2 linked regions of the Lepisosteus oculatus genome follow. The protein of the gene in region 1 interacts with the protein of each later gene in a pairwise test. Links are inferred from orthologs where the notes say so. Each region holds a gene or a part of one and is shown on either strand. Other genes may lie near its edges. The genes, in order: tmem79a and sarcolipin.

Region 1 (12,654 bases):
ACCGGACGAGCAGGTCAGGGGCGGTGACGTAAGTCACAGGGAAGTTTTTACAGATCCTTAACTGAATGATCTGCAGTGTTCCTATAGACCACCCTTCCCTAAGCCAGAGTAATTAGCAAACTCCCCACTGAGAGCTGGTGCGTGGGGAGAGTACTGGTGCATCATCCAGGTGGGGCTGCATACTGGTGGTGGTGGAGGGGATCCCCATTATCTGTAAAGCGCTGTGAGGGGAATGTCCAGAAAGGCGCCATATAAGCATAAGGAATTATTATTATAATCAACACGCTAGCTAGATCACCATCACTGGTCTTCTAGTGCCACCCAAGGGTCCACTAAGGCTGTTTGTGAAGGTATAGGAGACAGAAGAGAGGTTGTTCCCTGGTCCACACTAACGTGTGGATCAGTGTGAATTACCTGCAGCAGACAGGCAGGATTCTGATCAATACCTTGCTTGTGTAAAGTGTGTCATTGTCACGCTCCTGCCTGGCGAAGCAGAGCAGCTCCAGGTCTCCTCATCAGGGACTGCAGCCGGTCTGACACACCTGGGGGCAGCTCTTTCAGCACAGGGGTGCACTCCTGGGAAGAGCTTTGCCCGCGTGTTCAGTCGGAGCCGGTGATCTGTTTACTCAGGCGGCTTAGAGCAGAGCGCCCCAGCCCCGGGGCCCCCCAGGTGTTTAAGGTACCAGAGGAGCGGGGGGGTCCAGAGGAGGGAACTGTGGAGCTGCAGGGTCAGGGGGTGTCAGCTGAGCTCTCTGCCCTCAGGAATCCTCTCCCCTCCCTCTGATCGCGGTCCGGCGGGGCCCGGGCTCCAGGCCCTGTGGATTTATCGGGGACCCTGGGAACCCCTCGGGGCTGGGGCTCCCCAGTCTTAGAGACTGCATCCCGGGTGACCCCCACGCTGCTGGGTCTGACAGAGGAGGGCCAGTCCAGGCCCCGCCTTCTTCATTAAACACCCAGTTCAATTAAGCAATTAAGAGCAGAGAGAAGAGACGCCAGAGACCACTTTCCAGTCCGCTCCAGTCCAGAATTTCCCTCCTCCCAGCTCCCTCCTTAGTCCAGTGGCAGTTAGCAGGAGTTGTGCAGCAATTAAGGGAGTCGGTTGTTCCAGAGTACTGCAATGGAACGGACTGGAAGACCCCAGGCCAGCCCTGAGTGTGAGGATTGCATCTGGTTTTCCTTCCACCCCTCCAGTGACCTACTAGATGGGCTGATCTGGACTAAGCAGTCTCCCTCTCTTAAATGTTCTTGAGAAAGACACGAGGAAATATTTCCTTGCTTTACTGGATTTTTCATACAAAACTTAAAAAAAAAGTACATTTACAAGCAGCATTGAGTAAAATTGGACTCCACGAAAGTGTGACAGCCAGGAAGAGCAATTAAAAAAAATGCAACCATCATCATAATCCTACTACTAATAATATAATAGCATACATTGTAGAAGGAAACTGCGCTGGAGCCCTTGTGAGCCAATGAAACACGAGCGCAGATCACCGACAGGAAGAGCCTCCGTCAGCCGGTCCTTCGCTGCAGAGGAAGTCAAGCTCAGCCGACCCCCCCCAACCCCCAAGATCCCTTCAGACGAATAAGAGTCATTCTGGACAGCCCAGGTAGTGAAACTGGTGCCAGTCCCCCACATCCGCTGGCCAGCCCAGTCAGTACCGCAGTCCGACCCGGGATCAGCCCCAGAACCTCAGCCGGGGCTGGCCGGGGGGCGGCGTGGCGCCGGGCTCCTCGGGCTCTTCCAGGGCGAAGATGCTGCCGCCCTCCTGAACGAAGGTGAAGTACAGGTTGGCCACCAGCATGACCAGCACGGGGAAGAAGGTCAGTCCGAAGCCCAGGCCACGGAAACTGCTGCCCAGGGCGAAGGCCAGCCAGTAAACCAGCCTGAGGAAACACAGACACCCCCAGTGAGTGAGCTGGGGTACTGGGGTACAGACACACACCCCCCCAGTGAGTGAGCTGGGGTACTGGGGTACAGACACACCCCCCCCCACTGAGTGAGCTGGGGTACTGGGGTACAGACACCCCCCCCCCCAGTGAGTGAGCTGGGGTACTGGGGTACAGACACACACCCCCCCAGTGAGTGACCTGGTGTACTGGGGGTACAGACACACATCCCCCACTGAGTGAGCTGGGGTACTGGGGTACAGACACACACACCCCCACTGAGTGGGCTGGGGTACTGGGGTACAGACACACACACCCCCACTGAGGGAGCTGGGGTACAAGGGTACACACACACACAGAGTGACCTGGGGTACTGCGAGAGAGGGGGGTCAGGCTGGTGGTTACGGAGTACAGACAGGAAGAAGGCAGGTCAGGCTGGCGGTTGCTGTTAAGGGGTACAGACAGGAAGAGGGGGTCACCTGGCGATGGCGAACAGACCGGTGAGCAGCGGTACGAGCTTGAGGGTCTCCTGGCTCAGGTAGGTGGACAGCACGGCCAGGTTGAGGAAGAAGAGGAGGAAGAGCGAGAGGGAGTCCTGGACGAAGTGCCGGTGCACCCAGACTTCTCCTCGCTCCTGGCTCTGCGGCATCAGAGAGGCCCAGCACAGCCGGGACAGGCCCAGAACCAGCACGCCTGCGGAGACAGAACCGGGACAGACCCGTGAGCCCAGCACAGCCGGGACAGGCCCAGAACCAGCACGCCTGGGGAGACAGAACCGGGACAGACCCGTGAGCCCAGCACAGCCGGGACAGGCCCAGAACCAGCACGCCTGGGGAGACAGAACCGGGACAGAGACCCGTGAGCCCAGCAGGACGGAACCAGAGCAGAGACCCGTGCCGCTTCTGTCGCAGGAGGAGGAGGAGGGCGGGTGGGCGGGCGGGTTCTCTCTCACCCAGGACCACGGGCACGGTGGCGAAGGCGGCGCAGCGCAGGGTGTAGACCAGCCTCAGGGGGGCGCCGGGGAGCAGGGGGGCGTCAAACGGCAGGAACACAAACCCGCCCCACAGGAGGAGAGGGAAGATGAGGGCGGCAGCAACCAGAGAGGAGAGGGACTTCAGAGCATCGCGACCACGGCAACCGCAGCACCGACCACGGGCTGCAGAGAGAGGAGGCACAGGGTTCAAGCACAGGTCTGGACCGGGAGAGATAGGAGACACAGGGTTCGAGCACAGGTCTGGACCGGGAGACAGAGGAGACACAGGGTTCAAGCACAGGTCTGGACCGGGAGAGATAGGAGACACAGGGTTCGAGCACAGGTCTGGACCGGGAGACAGAGGAGACACAGGGTTCAAGCACAGGTCTGGACCGGGAGAGAGAGGAGACACAGGGTTCGAGCACAGGTCTGGACCGGGAGAGAGAGGAGACACAGGGGAAGGCACAGTGTAGACTGGAAGAGAGGGGAGACCTGGGGGAGGAGAGGGGAGACACAAGGGAAGGCACAGTGTGGACTGGAAGAGAGGGGCAGAGACGACTAAGGATTAGAGGTTTGTGGGGGGACGGGCTAGGGTGCCCCAGTTTGATGGAGAGAGTACTGGAGAGGGCGCCCCGAAGTTACCATGTGATGGACCGTCATCTTCCGGCCAGTACCCATCTGGGGGGGTCCCCTGGCGGTTCAGGAAGGGGCTCTTCTCGGGGTCCCCACCGTGAACACACAGCTCCTCCCTGTCCGCAGACTTCCTGTGCAGGCCGGACCTGGGGCCCAGGATCCGCACGCTGGGGCTGAACACCTGCGCCGCCTTCTCGGGCAGCGAGTTCACGAGGGGGTCCTCCTCCATCTCCGCCCCCGTCGCCCCCAGAACCCCGCTGCCCTTCTCGGCCTCTCGCTTCTCTGCTGACCACAGCAGGGTACTGGACTCTGTTAAAGCTGACCTTACCTCCTCCTCCTTCTCCTCCTCTCCCTGCTCCTCCTTCACTCCCACCTCCTCCTCTCCTACTTCCTTCTTCACTCCCCTCTCCTCCTCTCCCTTCCCCTCCTTCACTCCCACCTCCTCCTCTCCTACTTCCTTCTTCACTCCCCTCTCCTCCTCCCCCTCTCCCTTCCTGGTTCCCTCCTCCTCCTCCCCCTCCATCTCTTCCTTCTTCTCCGTCTCCTGCGCCCCCTCTCCCGTCAGGCCTGGTTTGAGGGGTACAGAGCTCAGCGAGCCATTTTCAAGAGGACGGTCCTTCCCCTCGTCCAAGAGCAGCTCCGATTCGGGGTTCGCGGTCATCCGACCGGGCATCCTGGGACTGGTCTCTGCTGCCTGTCCTGGGCTTCCTTCCACAGTTATTCCGAGGACTTTCCAGGACCCGGCAGGTATGTTTTCGACCCAACAGAATAAGGAACTAGGAAAACAAGTTGATACAAGAATTTGGAAAGAATTTGTTTGTGTTACTCAAACAAGCCGTTTGTACAAGCTAGCTGGAGACACTGCTGTCCCTCTCCTCTCACACTGCCCCTGAATTCACACACTGACACCCCCCTGACTGGACTGGAGACACTGCTGTCCCACTCCTCTCACACTGCCCCTGAATTCACACACCGACACACCCCTGACTGGACTGGAGACACTGCTGTCCCTCTCCTCTCACACTGCCCCTGAATTCACACACTGACACACCCCTGACTGGACTGGAGACACTGCTGTCCCTCTCTTCTCACACTGCCCCTGAATTCACACACTGACACACCCCTGACTGGACTGGAGACACTGCTGTCCCTCTCTTCTCACACTGCCCCTGAATTCACACACTGACACCCCCCTGACTGGACTGGAGACACTGCTAGAGACATGTTGTCAGGACACGAGTGGAAACTACAGGTAAGCCAGTTAAAACTGACAGAGAAGGTTTCTTCATACAGGGTGTTGTTAGTTATGCAGGTAAAGCCCCACCCAGTCATCAATCCTTCCCTTCGATTGGTCAGGTAACACGCCATTCATTCCAAAAGCCTTTTGTCATTGGCTGAACTCCAGTTGTTGTTTTTTTACCAAACGTTCGGAATGCGAGAGGGGGAAGTGGGAGCCTACAGGAAGCATTTGTTTATCAGAAGACCTTCTTTCAAAAAAAAAGTTATGTTATTTGGGGAGAAATGCGTGGAGATAAGTATTAGTGAGACGGGCATAGGCGTAGTGTGTCGTCTCCGATAGCCAAGTCACACTGAGCACTTTAGTCCAAACTCGGCAGCCAGTTCATGACGCTTCGAAACCATGTGGACATGTTTCATCAAACGTTCAACGCCCGCTCGCTCTACGTCCGGTGCTCTCGAGAAGACATTATAACGATTATAACGATTATAACGCCACTTACTCAGCGTGCCGCGAAGCCTCCGTGTGTCTCTCTCTCGCCGAGACGAGACGCAGGTGTGCCCAGGTGGAGCTGTTAAAGGCACAGGCTGCTCTTAAAGGAGAGGTCTGGAAGGAAAAGCGTCCCCTCACTGCCCCCGCAAAACAGAAAGAAACGTTAAGAGCAGAAGTGCCCCCTGGTGTCTGATCTGCCCGAGCGCCCATGTACCACCAGCCAGGTCCTCTGATTTTTATGAACAGCACAATTACTGATACTTCCTACCTGGCCTGGGGGTGATTTATAACTGTACTTGTAGTATTACTGATACTTCCGGCTGGGCTTGACGTTGGTTTATACTGTAAGGAGCTGTACTTGTACTGGTTTTTTTTTTCAGTCCTCAACTGCAAAAGACCTTCACAAAAATCCCAGTTGGGCATCATATCTTATTTAATTAAGAAAGTTAATCATCCAGGCGGATGCTGCACATTGGTGGTGGTGGAGGGGAGTCCCCATTACCTGTAAAGCGCTTTGAGCTTCTTCTTCTTCTTCTTTTTCACAGCCTCAGTCCCAGACTGTCCTGGGGTCAGCTGCTTTGGTTGCTCTTCTCCACTTGTCTCTGTCGAGCACATCTTCCTCACTCACTTCACATACCTCCATATCTTTTCTCACACAATCTATCCATCTCTTTCTAGGCCTGCCTCTTCCTCTGTTACCTTCCACCTCAAATTCCATTACCTCTTTGTTACTTCCTCAACGTCCCTCCTCATGATATGTCCATACCACCGTAACCTCGCCTCTCGCATCTTCTCAACCACATCCACCACCCTACATCGTCTACGGATTTCTTCATTTCTGATCTTATCCTTCATTGAAATCTGCAGAATCCATCTCAACATCCTCATTTCAGTTCTTCTCATCAAGTTCTCTTCCCTCTTTCCAACTGCCAAGCATTCAGCTCCATACAGTAGTACAGGTCTAATCACAGTCTTGTACATTTTGCACTTTAACTTTCTAGGAATTTTCCTGTCACAGATTATTCCAGTTATTTCTCTCCACTTGTTCCATCCAGCTTTCACTCTTTGTTTTACTGCCTCCAGTGTTTCTCCTCCCTTTACCAGTTTTGATCCAAGGTATTTAAAGCCATCAACTTGTTTCAGTTTTCCTCCATTTGTCTCCTCAACATTGGTCATAGTATCTCCTCTTCTCTCCATTACCATTATTTCAGATTTTTCTGCATTTTTCTGCATTCATTTTCAGTCCACCCTTTTCCAGACTCCTCTGCCATTTAAACACAAAGCTCCTGTAAAGCGCTTTGAGCAATTATTATTATTAAATATTAATTATTAGTCATTAGGTACATTGTTTAATTGCCTGCTCAGGTTGGAACTAAAACCAGAAGATGCCAACCAAGCTAGGAAGTGAGTTTGCGTCCCCTGGCTTAGAAAACAGTTCAGTCGCTCAGGGTTCTGTCTGGGGGGAGTTTGCATGTTGGTTTCCTCCAGGTGCTCCGTTTTTCCTCCCACAGTCCAAAGACATGCAGGTAGATTAATTGGCTTGTGGGAAAACTGTTCTTGGTGTGAATGTGTGTTTGTCTGTCTGCCTGCCTGGCCTGGTGTTCCATCCAGGGTGTGTGTGTGTGGGTGTGTGTCTGCCCTCTGATGGACTGGTGTCCCGTCCAGGGTGCACCCTGCCTAGCGCCTGTTGCTTGCTGGGATAGGCTCCAGCTCCACTGCATCCCTGAATTGGAATAAGTTGTTATAAGATGGAGGGATGGATGTATCATTGGTCAATGAAACATGGAGCTTTTGTCCTTGAGTTTTCTGACCTTTCGTTCCAGATCTTTTCTAAATAACTCCATTGAACAGGTTACCTGCTGCTGGTCGGAGTCAACTGGTTCCTGATATTAGAACTCTGTGATTCTAGGGCGACACGGAATACCTGTTGGACTGGGGTTCCTGCAGACCAGGGCTGGGAACCCCATCTGAGAGGTACAATACCCATAATCCCATCACATCCCATAACCCCTTTTCACTTCAGAGTCATGGTGACCAAGAGCCTGTCCCAGCAAGCACTGGGCACACCAATAATCAAACTATTAAAAAATAATCATTTCCTTACCCCGCCCTCCCATAAGTGCTGTTTGCAGATCTTTGGTAATTGAGTTTATTTATTGATACACGAGTGAAGTGTAGATCTGTTAACCCTGGTCTCCTGGCTCCAGTCTGGGCTGTACAGCCTGACCTCTCCGAAGCTCTCCCAGGATTCCCTTGGGGCAGCAGTGTCTCTCTCCCCCCCTGACCTGTGTGCAGGGGGGCTGCTGTGTGTCTCCCACATGGATGGGCAGTGAAGTGAGTCTCCACCTGTATGCAGGGCGCTATATGTAATTTTTCATCGGAATGAAAAAAGGTGCAGATCGAATTGTTTTTTCGCTAAAAACAAAATGTAGGGATTTGGAACACATTCTGTTTTAGAAATTCAGTGAATTTTACACGAAATCACTTTGAAACTATTCATAGTATTACAATATGATATTACTGTATTGACAGAGATAATTTCTTACCTTCGAGTCTTTTCCAAACACTGCAGTGATTTACAAAATTGACTACCTTTACTGTAAAAAAACAATGTGATAAAACAGCTTCTATACTAACTCATGTGCCGTATGTAAACATGTTCAGTATTATCTACTGTAGTCCACAACACAACTGGAGTGTGTACATTCGTGAACCCGCCCCTAATTTTGAACCAATCCGAGCTCCTGCTTACTCCTCTCCTCTGCCATCCAATTGGACAGCAGCTTCCTTCTCCGCTCCAATCAGAGAGCTCGCTGCTCCACGTGTGTTTCCCTGGTGCCGTGCAACCAAACCCGTTGAGCGACAGGAAAAACTAGAACATTCTGAAATACAACACTCTTAGCCAATCGCAATACGATGTGTTGCCCGTTAGCCAATCCCAGGGACTAAGACCTGTGCGTGGAGGTGGGGTCTTGTTTCGCAGCCTGGGGTTAGATTGAGAATCCTGTACTCACGGCCGGTGAGAGTTTACGCGAGTGTTCTGATATTATTTTATGAATTTTCCGAAGGAACATTTATATTTTATCCCCGTTAGACGGATGTTTGTAGGGCACAATGGCAAACGTGTGTCGCGAGGTTGTGACCCTGCAGCTGGGACATTTCTCAAACTATGTGGGGACCCACTGGTGGAATTTGCAGGTATTTAGTTAATTTAATATTTAATATGAACAAAATCAACATTAAGTTTATAGATGCGTAGTATTGTGTACAGGGTGACCACAGATTGAGAATATCCTGTCAGATTTGTATGGGCCGTGCCTGAGTCACCACTACGAGATGTCTAAATGTATATTGCATCAACTCTAAACTAGGTGCGTGTATATACAGCATATAAACAACTTGTACATTGAAATAGGTTTAGATATATCTGACCATTTCCTTTCAATTATTTAAATCCTGTTAATTAATTAGTAGTCTTACATTTTTTTGTGAAAGAAAGAGACAACTTCATGATGTTACGAATTGGAAAAGCAAACAGTTTGAAGTGCGACTTTAGTACTGGGCAGGAGAGTCTTAGCAAATCATAGCCCAGCAAGTTTTGAATTTCTAAATGAGGTGAAGAGGTTATGAATTTTCCTTTCCATAAAACCACATTTTCACATTAATTCTCCATCATTATTGTTCGTTTCAATTTAGTCCTTTATTTTACCAGCTAGGACAGTTGAAAACAAAGTTTCCCTTTTAGTTAAATTCTCACTGCCAGTCTGGGACAGACAGAGAGCTGTAAAGGAGCCAAGGTCTCACTGTGATCTGTGTCAGTGTTACAGATAGAGACACAGCCCTTCTAGAGTCAGGATATTAATCTCACTGCCAGTCTGGGACAGACAGAGAGCTGTAAAGGAGCCCCAGTCTCACTGTGATCTGTGTCATAAGCACTTGTTAGAGAGAATTAACCTGGGAGAGTATTGTAAGTGGCCCCAGGTTGTTTGAAAAAAATCGAACAAACTTAATGAAAATCTCTGTTCTTCTTCACCGCCCTGTCCAGGATGCTGCTCTGTGCTACGACCCGGATTCCCCCAGCCCCCCCAGCGAGTTGCTGAGTGATGTCCTATTCCGGGAGGGGGTCACACTGGGGGGACAGACCACCTACACCCCCCGCCTCATCACACTGGACCTCAAGGGTGGGCCTGATGCTCTGTGTGTGGCACTCTCAACTCTGCGATTCTTTTTTAAAGGAAGGGATATAAATGAAGCTGATCCACTCCAGGATTTACAGTGCTGTCAGTCAGACCCCCCCAGTCCACAGCAGTCTGATCCACTCCAGGTTTTACAGTGCTGTCAGACTCCCAGTGCACAGCAGTCAGATCCACTCCAGGTTTTACACTGGTGTCAGTCAGATTCCCAGTGCACAGCAGTCTGATCCACTCCAGGTTTTACAGTGCTGTCAGTCAGACTCCCAGTGCACAGCAGTCTGATCCACTCCAGGTTTTACAGTGCTGTCAGACTCCCAGTGCACAGCAGTCTGATCCACTCCAGGTTGTACAGTGCTGGCAGTCAGACTCCCAGTGCACAGCAGTCTGATCCACTGCAGGTCTTTAGTAGTTCTCCTACCTTCATTGTCTCTCTCTTCCGACAGGAAGCCTCAGTACCTTGAGGCAGGAAGGCAGCCTCTATGAGACAGGGAAAGAAGTCAGAACTTTCACCTGGTGAGTCACCTTCTCTCTTATTGTGTGTGTTACTAGTAGTGTGTGTTGTTGACTGTGTGTGTTACTGGCAGTGTGTGTGTGTTGTGGGTGACTTGTGTCTTATTTGTAACCCTGTCTGTGTTCTTCAGGGAGGGAGAGGTGATGACCCACAAGGAGTCCCCCCCAGCGAAGAACTCCTTCCTCCAGGACCTTGACCGTTTGGATGTGAGTGTCCCTCACCCCTCCTGGCCCATAACAAGGACTCCCCAGTCCTTGCGGCCTGTCCTGACTCCTGTAATTCCTTTTCTCTCCAGGAGGGGCAGCTGCTGCCCGAGGGAGACTTCTCTGCTACCCAGGCACAGGAAAGCAAGGGTGAGAGAGTCTTGTGTTTCTGTGGGGTCCCTGCTCACACCACTGAGCTCTTAGTGTTTCCAGCAAACCTGCCTCCAGGCCCTTAACGTGACTGCGCACTTTTGTAAATGACCCAAAACATCTGATGTGCACAGTCTGAATATTAGAAACCGGTTGGTTTTGGAAAATGACTTTATCTAAGATGTCATAAAAAGAAAGGGCTGGAGCTGGCTGGGGGAGGAGCTGTGCTGTGTGTCTGACGGACTCTCCTGATGTCGCCCGGAAGCTCTCTCGGCAGGCGGCATTGCCATGGCGACGGTGAACGCCAGTCTGGAGCGCGCTCAGAAGCGGTACAGCCTGGAGGGCAGCGTGAGGGTGTGGTCTGACTTCCTGAGGGTCCACCTGCACCCCCGCAGCATGATGGTCATCAACGAGTACAACCACGACGGGTTAGTTATCTCTGAACCCATTAACCAGTACAACCATGATGGGCTTTGTTATCTGTGAACCCATCCACCAGTACAACCACAACAAGTTAGTTATCTCTATACCTGTTTACCAGTACAACCACAACAGGTTAGTTATCTCTTAACCCATTAACCAATACAACCATGATGGGTAAGTTCTAGCTAAACTACTTAACCAGCACAGCTGTGAGAGGTTAGTTATCTCTAAACACATAAACATGCACAGCAGCAACTGGCTAGTTATATCTCAGTGTGAACACCAGTACCTCCACAATGGGTTAACTGACTCAACTAGTATACCAGTAAACCACCATGGGTTAGCTGTCTCTCTAAACTAGCCCTGTAGACCAGTGCAAGCATAATGAGAGAATTATTTTACCAGCACCACAGCAATGCACAACAATCTCTCAACTAACAATAGTACAATCATTTGTCAACCTTGATACCATTATGACCACAACAATCATGTCAAGTAAGCTGTTTCACTACTAGTAGAAAACACAATGGGTTATTTACAAATTATAGGTAGTTCATCCACAATCATTACTCAGTACACTGAAGATTAGCTACAGTTATGACATGTCATGTACAGGTATAGAGGAATCTGATAACAGCACTCATCCATGGTGAGTCACTATCTCTTAACTAGTACAGAACTACAGCCGCAATGGGTTAGGTATCTCTGCGGTTCAGTGACCTAGTGTGCTGGGTCTGGGTATGTTGAGCTAGACTCTCTCGGTGCCCACATGTCTGCGCAGGGAGACGAATCGCTTGGAGGCGTTTGGCCAGGGGGAGGCGCTGTGCCGGTCCGCCACAGTACTGGAACAGCTGGAGGACCGTCTGCACTTCTTTGTGGAGGAGTGCGACTACCTGCAGGTCGGTCTTCCCACCACTGGGTGGCGCTGTCTTGGCAAGCTTTACTGTAGGTGGAGTCCTTACATGGACACTCGCTGCATGGCTTCCCCTTGACCGATCTGCTCACCTCAGAACCTGGGGCTTCTCAGTCCCAGCTAAGTGCTTCATTTTCCTGTGTAACATTTTAAATGTTCCATTAAATCACTGGATATTTAGTTTTGGTCCTATATAATATGTAGCCACTATTGTATGGAGCAGCTCATATTGTTGTTCTTTCTCAGGGGTTCCAGGTGCTGTGTGACCTTCAAGATGGGTTTTCAGGTCTGGGGTCAGGGGTCACAGAGCTCCTTCATGACTCATACGGAGGGAGAGGCATTTTCACATGGGGACTGGCTCCTGTCAGACACCCCGATACTGTGAGTCTGGCTGCCTGTCCGTGGTCAGTGTGTCAGTCTGTGGACCCGTCTCTATCTGTCTCTCTATGTCTGTGGACCTGTCTCTCTCTATGTCTCTCTCTATGTCTCTCTACATCTGTGGACCCGTCTGTCTCAGTCTCTCTCTTGTTCACTGTGTCCATCTCTGTACCTGTCTCTTGGTCAGTGGCTCAGTCTGTGAGTCGGTCGGTGGCTCAGTGTGTGACTGTGTTGTGTAGCCCTTGTCTGATGCTGTGTGTCGCTGAGTTGCAGAGCCCAGTGAAGGATCTGTACCACCTGGTGAACTCCGCCCTCGGCCTGGTCAGCCTGTCCAATCACAGCTCCCTCTTCTGCCCCCTGACCCTGAAGGGCGGGCTCGGCCGATGCCCCGCTCCCCCGACCTCCTTCCCTCACCTGCAGTTTGACGTGAGTAACCCCACCCCTGAGCGACTCACAGACAGACATGTCCTTCAGGAATCCGGTTGTTAAACCTCCCTCTCTTTCCCAGTCCTCTCTGTGGTATCACTCTAGTGCAGTGCTGGCGGCGGCTCTGGACACCATGACTGTGCCCTACCGACAGACGCAGGGTGGCGGCCCCATGTGGCAGCTGTCGGACGCGCTGGCTGTCTCAGGCCGGAAGGTAAGGGGCCTGGGTGGGTGT
Region 2 (12,072 bases), on another chromosome or scaffold:
GAAATAGCTGACATTTTCAACCCGTCGCTAGACTGTTTCTTCAGGTATGACGCTCAGGTCAACCAGTGGTCAGAACTGGTTGCTGAATTTGGTCAGTTCTTTCATGCCACCTTGGTCAAAGCAGTGCCAGTCAACAATACTCTGTACATCTGTGATTTGTCCACTTACAAGGTGTACAGCTTCTGCCCCGAAACCTGTGTGTGGAAGGGCGAAGGCTCTTTTGAGTGTGCGGGATTCAATGCAGGAGCTATTGGCATTGCAGACAAAATCTACATACTGGGTGGAGACTACGCTCCGGACGAAATAACAGATGAAGTGCAGGTCTACCACAGCAACAGATCCGAATGGGAGGAGGTTTCTCCCATGCCAAGAGCCTTGACAGAATTCCATTGCCAGGTGATGCGATTCAACCGTTACAGAGACCCGTGGAAGGCAGACCCATGAACACACTGTGGTGGGAAGCTAATCATATCCAGGGGCGACTGTATCCTTCGAAAATGAATGGCTTCGTTCTACAGTATGTCTTTCTCTATAGGTTGGCCCTGTTTCATACATAGCACAGCTGTCACTGAATATGCCCGAACAATCACAAACAAGGACCCAGCCAGGGCAAGGTTTCGATCCTGTCGACATTTCAGTTTGTAGGTTACAACATTGTCAAAAAAAAACACTTTATGAGTGCCAAAGCTCAGTTTTTGTGCAAAGCTTTAGGCCATTATCCTTAATAATTTGAGAATGAAGAAATCTTTGTTCAAGTTCAAAAAGACAGCATAAAGCATGAAGACGAAAGATCCAGATATATACATGATATTGTAGATGTAGAGTGGTCGTGTATTTATCTGAACTATTGTTGTATGAAGTTCTTTCTAAAAATACTAAAGCTGATGTGTTTAATGTTATGGTCTAAATCACCTCCTGCTCCTAGCTTCATATGTTCTGACTGCTCGGTGGCTGTAATAATGAGACAGTGCCTACTTAGTCAATGAAATGGCCTTTAGTTCACGACTTTCTTCATTTTCCCAGATACACTTTCAATTTCCAGATCAGGACACGACAGGAAGCATGAACAATCAAATACTGGCAAATAAAAGAAACAGCTGCTGTTACACTTCTGTGTGAGACTACTTCCTTTCTCTTCTTTGATACCATTCAAATAATGTAATTCCTGCTTCTTTCCCTGAAAATATGTATGGAGTACTGTTTCTTGATTTGATCTTTCTTCGTGGTGTGCTTATTATTAATAACAATGATTTTTAAGATTACTTTTAAACTACATTTTTATACAAGATGTACTGTAAAAACTCAACATAATCTATTAATGCTACACGGGCCCTTACAAATGTCATTTAATATTTTTCATACAACTTTACATGTACCAGACACACAGAATACAAACCTGATCATGCCCTTTCACATTATCAGTTAGATTTTGCCTGTTTATCCTAGCAGTCTCTCGTACATTCAAATATATACTTTTTTATACTGCCTTAATAAACCACATAAAATGTGTATCATACAAAGAAACATTATATTATGTACAACAGTATGTATATTAGATAGTATATTTCAATGTGAGGTAACAAAAATGAAGTTTGGCAAATAGGTGTGAGTTTTTTTCCTTCTAAAGCCCTGGTATGTGATCATCCTTGCTCTGTAACAGCTGAATACTAGGGTAACAAGAAAAAACAAGAAAACTTTACTATTATGCATGGCTTGTCAGTGCATCAATGAGCAATGAAAAGGGTTTGGTATGTTTAAGGAAACTCAGCTGTAGTCATGGTGATGCTTGTGTTTATAGTCACGGTCAGAGTGGTTTTGTGAATGGAGTAAGTATTGTGAACTCCGCAGTCCTGCCATCTCATACATCATCAAACTGGCTTTCCTTTCCTGATTTAGGGATTTAGTCGGGCCTGAGCATGAGATGTGCTTTCTGAGAATGGTAAAACTTGTGATTCATGTACATTTGTCATGCAGCAGGCAGTAGAGCATCTGACATCCCTTTACAGACATGAAAAACACCATGAGTCACACTGTATACTTTTTGTAACTATCAATGCTGATTTTGCCTAAAGACAATATAAACAGGATTCTGAGGGGGAAAAAAGCAATATTTTATCCATCATTGTAGTAGTGATGTTACTCAGTGGACTACCACTTTCAAAACTCTCATTATATTTTTAGAATTCAATTTTCTGTGTTAATAGAGGATTTGTAAGAAGGCAAAATGTCTCTTCCATTTCATTTTTGTACAAATGTGTTTATATTGATTCAGATGTTATGCTGCTTTACAATGAATTATGCCATTCAGAACTTTTTTGCTTTATATGTTCAGAACAAAATCAAATGGTGAGACACTGATGCTCAAATCAGTGTATATTTATTCAATTATATTCTAATGCATGAAAAGTGAAGAATGAGTAAATATTGTACACATATACTGTATGATTAAGGCTATGTAAGTTATCCATGCTACCTAACTCTATCTTAATAAAGTAGCCTCGAAGCTGAAGGATATATTATTTGTCTTTGGGTTTTAATTTGAAAGGCTGGTAGTCAATGCTACACACCAAGCAAAGCTACCCTGAGTACCGCTGGTCTTCAATTTCACCCTGGGTTTGCAGTGATATGTAAAAACACAACACTGAAGTCTGTAAGGAAGGTTTTTCAATATTGTTCCTGTGATCCTGTCATACTAACTGTGTGATAAGCTCTCAATAAATATGTTAAAGTTGAAAAATATAAATTTAAGGAGCAATAGGTTATGCAACTTTATCACCCTCTTCTGGTCATAACTAGAACTGTGAGAACCCCTTAAGAATTGAACAGAATCATTCTCTAATGTAAACACTGAAAGATGTGATCTCCAGTAGACCAGTTCTAGTCATCTGCTTATTGAACTACTGGCCAAGTATTGGGAATTCTTCCTTTGTACAAATAAAGTCTGTTCTTTTGTCTGTACAAATGAAGCTAAGATTCTGGAATTTTATATGATGTAGAAAAGTTCAATTGGAAAAAGAGAAATTCAACACCTTAATGTTTATAACAAAATGCAAGCAGCCATGTCACCCTGCAACTTACAATTGGCAACCCACTGAAGCTAAGCAAGTGTGAGCCTGGTCAGTACCTGGATAGGAGACCTCCTGGGAAAAACTAAGGTTGCTGCTGGAAGAGGTGTTAGTGAGGCCAGCAGGGGGCACTCACCCTGCAGTCCATGTGGGTTCTAATGCCCCAGTATAGTGACGGGGACACTATACTGTAAACAAGCGCTGTCTCTCGGATGAGACGTAAAACCAAGGTCCTGACTCTCTGTGGTCGTTAAAAATCCCAGGGTGTTTCTTGAAAAGAGTAGGGGTGTAACCCCGGCATCCTGGCCAAATTTCCCATTGGCTCCTAATAATCCCCCTCCATGAATTGGCTACATAACTGAGTTATCCTCCCACCCCCCCACCCCCTCTGATGGCAGGCAGAGCGACGCGCCAGTTGGAGTATTCTCAGTTGCATTTAATGGCAACGTCAGTTCAAAGAGTTAGGATGAGAGAATGTTTATAACAAAATAATGTTCTGCAAATTTGTGCTCCTGAGAGTTCATCTGAGGTGATACACTGTTGCCCAGGTGTCAGGGGTTGGTCATGTCACTGGTGGACTGTGACAGGTGTAGAATTAACCAAGCAGCTGTTCACAGTTGGCAGAGTTACAGGTCGTTGACCAGTGATCTCTTGGACTTCATGGAAATGGTGACCACCCCAGTCTTAAAGGACTCCCACTGTGTTGCAATATGAACTAAACATCCTGAAGGGGTCTCTTTTAAAGATGAAAGGCTCAAAGTGGGATGGGCTGTGATTCCTATTGATATCTCATGATTTTCCCCATGGTGTGGCTGTGAAATATGACCTGGATGCTGTAAATTGGGTGTTTGCCTAATGGAAATAGAAATAATTGGAAAATACTGTTGAATCTTCATTGACATTGATACAAAACAAAGACAGTCTGACTGAAGCCTTTTTATTATACAAAGTGTAAACGGAAATGTACACAGAGGTTTCACATTTCTAGTACATCTTTGCTTGTAAGAATAATCAGGCACAAATCCAAATGCACTGAAAGAACATTACTAAGGATTTCAGTTGTCAGCAGCTGCTTTCACTCAAGAAGTTGCTCTTGTAGTACTGGAAATGTTATACAAGAACAGATGTAAAAAAAAAAGACTTTGCAACACAGCTCAAAACATTTTTTTTTTGCTGAACTGTTCACTAATGCATACACAGCAGCAGCGAAAATGAAATAGGAGGTACACAGATTAAAGAACACCTGATCCAGTTTATATTTCCGTAGATTATCACTATTACGTCACTGCTTTTAAAGGCCAGACAATTGTACTCACAAGCTTCTTATGGGCAGGATGGTTACAGTAATGAATGCAAGAGCACATGCCAAAGCTTAATCAGCCCTTTATCCAGAGGCAAGCTGGTATGGGGGCTCAGCATATTTAACACTACTTTTCTCCATTGTTGGGACTATAAAAGGTGCCTCTGGAAAGAGAAGCCTGGCTGCACAGGACATGTCTCACTCCTGGTAGGATTTGACAAGGAGCCACATGAGTAACACAGTGATTAAGACAATCATGAAGTTCAGGAAGAGCTCCTGCACTGAGCGATCCATTCTGCTCCGGCCTGAGGACGAGGGCTTTGGAGGGGAGATCTGTGCCAAAGGCTCAGTTCGAGACGCTGGAGTCAGTCGCAGCAGGAAGAGCCACACACCTTCTGCTCCCAAGGCTGGGTTCCGACGGGAAGGAAAAAATAACCGTCACATTCCAGAATCCTGAGGATCCTGAGGCATCCTGAGTGCAAATTTTACCATGGCTCTGTCACTGTAAGTTAATCTAAGAGCTATATTTATAATGCATTCTATTCCACTGTCTTTTGCCTCACTGCATTAACATTGCCTGTTGTTCTATAGCAGATCAACTGGGGATATCAAATGAAATCTTCTGTGTTATCACATCATCTACAACAAATATAAATGCAGAACCTTCATATCCCGTGTTTGTACCACTGGAAATTGTGTTACGGAACTTCAATATTAAATTTTACGAGATAGACAGATACTTTATTGATCCTGTGAGGGAAATTGCAGAACTAGTTACTACTAGTTATAGTAGTGCTACTCAGTTAAAAACTGTGTAGTCTTTCTGTCACAGTGTTCTTAACTTTTTTGAGCTTTGGTTAAATGTATGTGGATGTTACAGAAAGCTGATCGCAAGGGCAAGTGTTTAAGATTCAGCGCCTTTTCTTGCTGAGAAATGTTTTGCGTTTCACCAGGGAAACACAAATCCTCACCATCCCATAGGGACCACTTGATTACTTTGCAGCTTGTCACCCTATCAAGCGGCTATGATTGCTCACTCTAAAAATAGATTGTGTACATAGATTTACAGAGAGATTTAAAAGGCACCCCAAACCCATGCACCAGCTCTGGCCAATTTGCAAAGCTGCTCGTCTTTCATAAGTTTGGAAGCTGCCACGCTCCAGATGATTCTTTGACAGTCTAGAGGACACATGTGAAAAAAGATCACGTTTCAATATAACCAAAATTACTGCTCTGATAGATTCTTGGTGCGTGTGATGTCCTCTTATATTCCACAGACTACAAAGTGACAGCACGTACACAGCATCCCAACATTGTGAACTGGATACTGGTATTTCATTGTTTCATAGCCACTTGTCACTAAATATGCCCATCATCATGGCTGTTTTGATGGTGCTTTACTGATTTCTTTCACGCCTCTCATTTTACAGTTTTTTGCTGAAAACATTACATTAATGCTAACATTACTGTTGCTACTTTGTTGTACCAAAAGCTGTGTCAGGTCTTGAAAAGGATGCATATTATTTCCTAGATGTATTAAACAACACTGAAATCCCTGAACACTGAAAAAATTTCAGAATGCTGACGTTCTGAAATTATTTTGGCCCATGCCTTTTTTTTTATAAGAACTGAGTGTGGATGTAAAAAGGATTTAACAAATTATACAATGTTCTAAAATAAGAATGAAATAAGAATAAATAAAAAAAACAACACATTCCTTCAGCTTTTCTGAAGCTATTACTTTTCCACATATGACTTTATACCTGTAATGAAAGGTGAGTATCCTCTTTCCAGTTTAATGATGGAATCTACACAGGTTTGCGTGGCAATTGAAATAGCCTCTGTCTCATGTCAGCACCTTCTTACCTGGTTCAGGTATTGAGCAGTTTTCCAACAAAACCAGTTACAGTTCCAGGGTTTCTCTGGGGCTCACTGTTCTGCTGGCTGGTGCCTTATCCTCCAGGTCCATCTGGGCTGGGAGTGACTGAGTCTCCTCTAAAGTACTCCGAGGGAGGGGATCACCAAATAATTTGGCAACAAAAGCAGTGATGTCACAGAGTAAGTATTTAAAGTCCTGTTTGCAGACAACAAAGCAAGCCAAGGATTTCTGTGAGGGGATTTTTCGGGGGATTTTGGATATTGAGTTTGTATTTATTGGAATTTTAGCCCCTTGGGGAACTTATTTCTTTTGATGATGTAGATTAAGTCAAATCAACTCTATCAATAATATAATACGCCTTAGTCTATCCTGTACAATATTATATGTTACGTTTTATAGTTCAATGTTTTCTATAAAACTATAGGTACTATAACATTCACAAACATCACATTGGAGTTTTCTAGTGTTTATAGTGGTTTTTGATACTATTAGCACTCACTGCAATGCATTATGTTTGACTAAACCATGACTGACTTTAATATTTAAGCAATTCTTGCTTCTAACCACTAACTAAGCTTTACGTTGTTTTTCTCAGATATCTTTCTTTGCTTTTCTGAATCAGTGGTTACCATATACATGTTTCTGGGCAATGTGCTGTATTTACACAATGGCGAATCTTCAATTGCAGAATAATTCTAAGTGAAAATAACAAGTACAATTATTTGCCAAAACTCACTGTATTTTTAGCATTTTTTCAAAGTTTGCATTTACCTGATTTACCAGCAGAAACAGGATAGACACATTTTATCAACGATACAAATTAACTGCTGAAGATAATGGCTGCATGCTAGGCTAATTACTGTATTCCAGACACAACCATGCTTGATCCTGGACGTCGATTCTGATGCAACCACTGGGATATGATGACTCTGACCTCATTAGCAGGGAGACTGAACATTTGTCCAGTTGTGATAGATGGAAGCTGCCCAGTGGACAGTGGTGAAAGTAATGCACTTCATGACATCCGGATCGACAGCATCTTGTACGAAGCAACAGAGTGGCACGGTTGTCCTGAGTACCTGGAAAATTGATTTAATACGGCAAGTGGACAAGTGGTGGATATGGGGGAGAATACTCTAATTTATAAATGTACAGTATCTAAGGAGTGCACCACAAGAAGACATAAAGACCTATTCTCTGTTTTGTGCCTTGATTCCATTAAATTCCATTGAATTAAATTGTGAGCACAGTTACTCCAGATGGAGGATACTGTAGATACTGGATGAGCCTTTTCCAGGTCCTTCTGTTTCGACTGAAGGATGAAGGTGTAATGAAAAGTGAAACTTTTATCCTGGCACTTACCACGAAGCAGGATACACCAGAGAGGAGACGGAAATGTTAAACGTTGCAGCGGACAATGTGTTTTCTTCCTTTCATTCTGCTCTTCAAAAGAAGAATGTCTTTGTGGATAATATATTTAGTTAATATACTAATGTATTTAGTTATTATGTGATTAATGTATGATCTAAAATACAGCTGTTTGATGTCCAGAAATGAATATGCCGAGTGTAGATCAATTTTCAAGCACTACCATTGAAGTGGCTTTTTTAGGGGCAGAAAATCAGAACTATACATATTTAATATTGTCCAAACCTGGTAATTATATAGGAGGTTGGGAGCCCAGTATTTCCTGGTATCACTACAATATTCATTCCATTGCTAATACAATCATCTAGTCAACATCTAAGAGTGTTTATGAGGACTAAATGGAGTGGGGGTGATCACATATGGTTGGGATATTTTCAAATAAAAGCCTAAATAAGATACCTGCAATACAGAAATCATTATGCGTTATGATTATATTCTCCTAATAACCACAGTTTACAAATTAAAAATATGGAGAACATTTAAAATGTTAGCCCATACCATTGTTTTGTCATTTTGTGTATAGAAGACATTTTGCACACTCATGCCAAATCTTATTGAACAGTGGGACAGTTTTCTATAGGGCTGTAAAACTTGAACAACTATGGGCTCAGTTATCTGCTATGCTGTAGTAGTGGAAAGAGAGCAGTTGGATCAGTGTTGTTAGATCAGTGAAAATTGAATTGCCTTTTATACATTTTATTTCCTAGATATCACTGTATCCTCCCTCTTTACGATTATTTCCTGCTCAGTTACTATTGTGTTTCTTAACAATTCTTGAGAAGGGCTACACTCTAACCTTCTCCTAAATTCCCACAGCAGTCACTGCTTCATACCTCACATACTGTAGCCACTCTGTTCTAAATATAAAGCTACATTCACTATCCTAAATTTCATATGGGAATAAACATCCAGTGTGGCATGAGACTGGAGCTGATACAGTATGAGCCTGTTTTCCTCATATTTTCCTCAAATGTTGACATATTGTACAATATGAATTTGTCCATATTATTTTCTAGTATTCTTGGACACATTTCTAGGGTACAGTGCTTCAACTGAACTGCTATATGAGTCACTATTGACACTCACATTTTAACACTCCTACCAAAGAACAAATTAGGTTCTTGCTACAAAGAAAAGAAAGAAGTACGTGGTTTTTCATTTCTTTTTCGGTAGATCCCACTCCTTGAGTGACTGGAGTGACTCAGGTCACGATTTTAACCAAAATATGAGTTCAAAGTGACAGGTCATATAACCTTCTGCCATTATGTTGAAGGTATTGCAGCTCAGATGTTTTGTGTGTGTTCAACAAGAAAATGCAAAATGCAGAGGTGGGGTCTTAGTGTCCCAGATCTTTAAGCACCTCTTTGGATAGGCAGACAAGAGCTCTGCTTTAGGAACCAGTGTGGAAGCAAAATTCGATGCACCCTTGCAACTTCAGTGCTGTTTCTGTTTGCTGAATGAAAGCCAACAAAGTAGATCATCAGAGTGCAGAAATGTTTCCTGTATTAATCTTCATCTTATGGTAAACATTCCATATGGTGAACATTTATGTTCTGTGTCAAATTAGCTGTATATATTTGCATTTAACAAGCTGAAATATAAGGATGTTTTCTAGAATCCTTGCAATATGACCTCCTTGCAAAACCTTGCCTGCAACCGAGTCCTTCCAGGCTATTTGCCACCTTTAACAGCTGTGAACACTAGTATTGCTCAGCTATTACTCAAAATAGACATTGCTAGATTATTCCATATCAAAGATTCTTATAAGGCACGTCTACTTAGACCCTATTTTTTGTCTTTCCTCCCTCATCCAAATGTTCTACAGAGCCCAGCTTTCTTAAATGGTTAAAGTAAGTTAATATTGGTTAACTATAATTAATAGAAACACTTTAGTAGGATTTCATAATGGATTGTATAAATCAATGATATGCTATCAAGTACGACAATTTCACAAAACTGTAGTTCTGTACAAGTTTGGCCGTTTGTTCTTTGCCTTAGTGATTTCAATGTATGAAAAACAAGTTGCATTTTATATTTAAGGTTTTAATTTCACCAGTTGGATGCAGTAGTTTAACTTCTGGGTCACAAACACCTGCATTTTGGACCCTAACATGTAGAAAACTGAATAGAGTACCAGATGGTCATCAAATGAACAGAGAACCAGACGTCATGTTGTTTGCATATCTTGCTGTAAATCTAATAACCTCACCCTTACCATATATGCTGTACACAAGATGCTGTGTTTATTGCAATTCATCAAAATGAGTGTACAGGAAGGCCTGAAAATGATTAATGTTAGGATAAAGCATCAGTGCCAGTAGAAGGACTTTGTGTAAAGGTCTAAAACATATAACTCATCTCCTGTCTGCTGGAAGTGGGGTCTTGTTAAAGGGATTGCAGGTTAAAAAATTTCCTCATGCTTTTCATTCTTAGTGATGATTCTAGAGGGCACTATATAAGCAATCAGTGCTATTTAAAAAACAGGTCAGATTTCTCAGGAGCATTCTGTTTCATGCGATTAAAATATAGAGATTCCAGTGTAGATCTGCCTTGGCTACAAGGTTGAAATAACAGAGCTTTGAATGCATACTGCAATGATACACCTTACAGTTGAAAAATCCCAACCGGGATGAAGGAGGCCATGGAAAATTACAGACATTTCGAACAGGTGCCTTCAGTTACAGCGCCACTGGAGGGTGCAGGTTTGTCAGTTATGGTAAAAACTAAGGGTTTAAACTAAAGTGTCTGTCCCAGCTGCACTGGATATTGATCTTATTCTGTCAGCTCTGTCAGCTTTAACCTTTGCTGGCTCAATGCCTCTAATTGGTCACTTTCTGTTTATAAAAGGAAATGGCAAATTTAATTGCTGCTCACAAAGGTGTCGTGTTGTATGACGGAGGTTTAAGGGAAGACGTATTTTTAACGTTAAACTAGCTTCCACGGGTCAGTCATGTGCGCTGTTGGTCTTGGCCGTGATAAGTTTCCAGACAGAGAGGGCAGGCCAACAATGTGTCAACTAAGCCACTTGACATTGCTGGACAGGTGGTTTTCAAAATTTGTTATTAAACACTGTGCCGCGTCGTTTGATCCTGGTTCAGCAGCCAGTCATACAATATCACGAAAAAAAGCCCTCAAACAATCAGCAGACTATAACAGACAGGGATGAGTGCAGAATGCAGAGGTTGGATATAGTCTAATTGATTCCCCTCAGACATACAGCTTAAAGCTTGCCGCCATAGGCTAAATTCTTCTTTGCTCTTGATGATTGATCTAAGGTGCTGAAACTAAAGTTGATCTCTGTTTTCACATTGACACCAGCTAACTCACTGCCCTCCCCAAGCCTTCCACGTTAACATAAATAAATACCAAAAAGGTGATAAATACCTAGCAGTGTGCTGGACAGCAAGGCAAGTCTCTTTTTTATTTACACTTAAGGGAACTTCAGTTGTGGTTGCATTACTAATACAGATATGAGACTCATATTTAAAATTTACGTGAACCTTAAGCGTTCATCAGCCTTACAAGAATGAACAAAGCTTTCGGTGATTAAAATCGCCACACAGCGGGAAGCCAGCTGTACTGTAGTGGGAGTGGAAACAATCTACCTTTCTTTCTCCCAAAAGTGTTTCTAAAGGAAATTCTTCCATATTTTCTTTTCAAGTTCGATAGTCTTACTATTTCAATTCATGATTATTTGATTTGGGTTGTTTCACAGGATTGATGCCCTGAAGCCAGGCTACAATACCAAAGGTAAATCTGATTTAGATGAAGGTACCAATAAAAAAGGCTTGCAGTGACTGATAAATGTTCACCTGTCACAACAACAATGTACTTTTTAGATCAAATTACAGTTCTGTGACAGTGCCCACATATTTATACCCCTCTTCTCTTTCAACCTGCTGACCATAAATTCTCAGTTATTAACTTTACCAGAGTCTTTTCCACATTTAAGTAGAAGAATGAACTTAAAGGGACACTATTCTGCAAAGACATCAATTTCCCTTTGAAATGCCACTGTTTCATGTGTCCACAGAAACTGTGCCATCAGGGTATTTTATGAAAAGATTTTCAGCACTAGTATTCCAATAATGTAGGTGGAGTGGTGGCTCTGTGGCTAAGGATCTGTGCCTGTGGCTGGAAAATTGCCGGTTCAAATCCCTTAGCTGGCAGAGGAATCCTACTCTGTTGGGCCCCTGAGCAAGGCCCTTAACCCCAACTCCTTCAGGGGTGCTGTATAACGGCTGACCCTATGCTCTGACCCCAAGCTTCTCTCTCCCTGTTTGTGTTTCATGAAGAGCAAGCTGGGGTATATGAAAAGAGTAATTCCTAATGCAAGAAATTGTATAGGGCTAATAAAGTGATGTTATGTTATAAAGTTTTTGTATATAATTTGGACACTA

The links.
Region 2: the proteins of tmem79a (region 1) and sarcolipin interact in binary tests that used the Homo sapiens proteins (3 or more experiments, as listed by UniProt). The two-hybrid records come from large-scale screens. The link is inferred for Lepisosteus oculatus from reciprocal best matches to the Homo sapiens genes TMEM79 and SLN.

Annotation. Positions count from the first base shown.
Region 1 is NC_090722.1:6,313,005-6,325,658, forward strand, and holds tmem79a (transmembrane protein 79), read right to left. Parts: upstream 5,342-12,654; 5' UTR 5,233-5,341; intron 4,270-5,232; 5' UTR 4,167-4,269; coding exon 3,503-4,166; intron 3,044-3,502; coding exon 2,840-3,043; intron 2,581-2,839; coding exon 2,367-2,580; intron 1,885-2,366; coding exon 1,677-1,884; 3' UTR 1,264-1,676; downstream 1-1,263. Other genes in the region: msto1 (protein misato homolog 1), read left to right, coding at 8,337-8,420, 9,268-9,403, 9,859-9,928, 10,057-10,132, 10,222-10,279, 10,545-10,707, 11,484-11,601, 11,862-11,996 and 2 more.
Region 2 is NC_090700.1:10,182,724-10,194,795, forward strand, and holds sarcolipin, read right to left. Parts: upstream 6,342-12,072; 5' UTR 6,232-6,341; intron 4,773-6,231; 5' UTR 4,660-4,772; coding exon 4,564-4,659; 3' UTR 3,989-4,563; downstream 1-3,988. Other genes in the region: kbtbd3 (kelch repeat and BTB domain-containing protein 3), read left to right, coding at 1-444. UniProt on the Homo sapiens protein: Reversibly inhibits the activity of ATP2A1/SERCA1 and ATP2A2/SERCA2 in sarcoplasmic reticulum by decreasing the apparent affinity of the ATPase for Ca(2+). Also inhibits the activity of ATP2A3/SERCA3.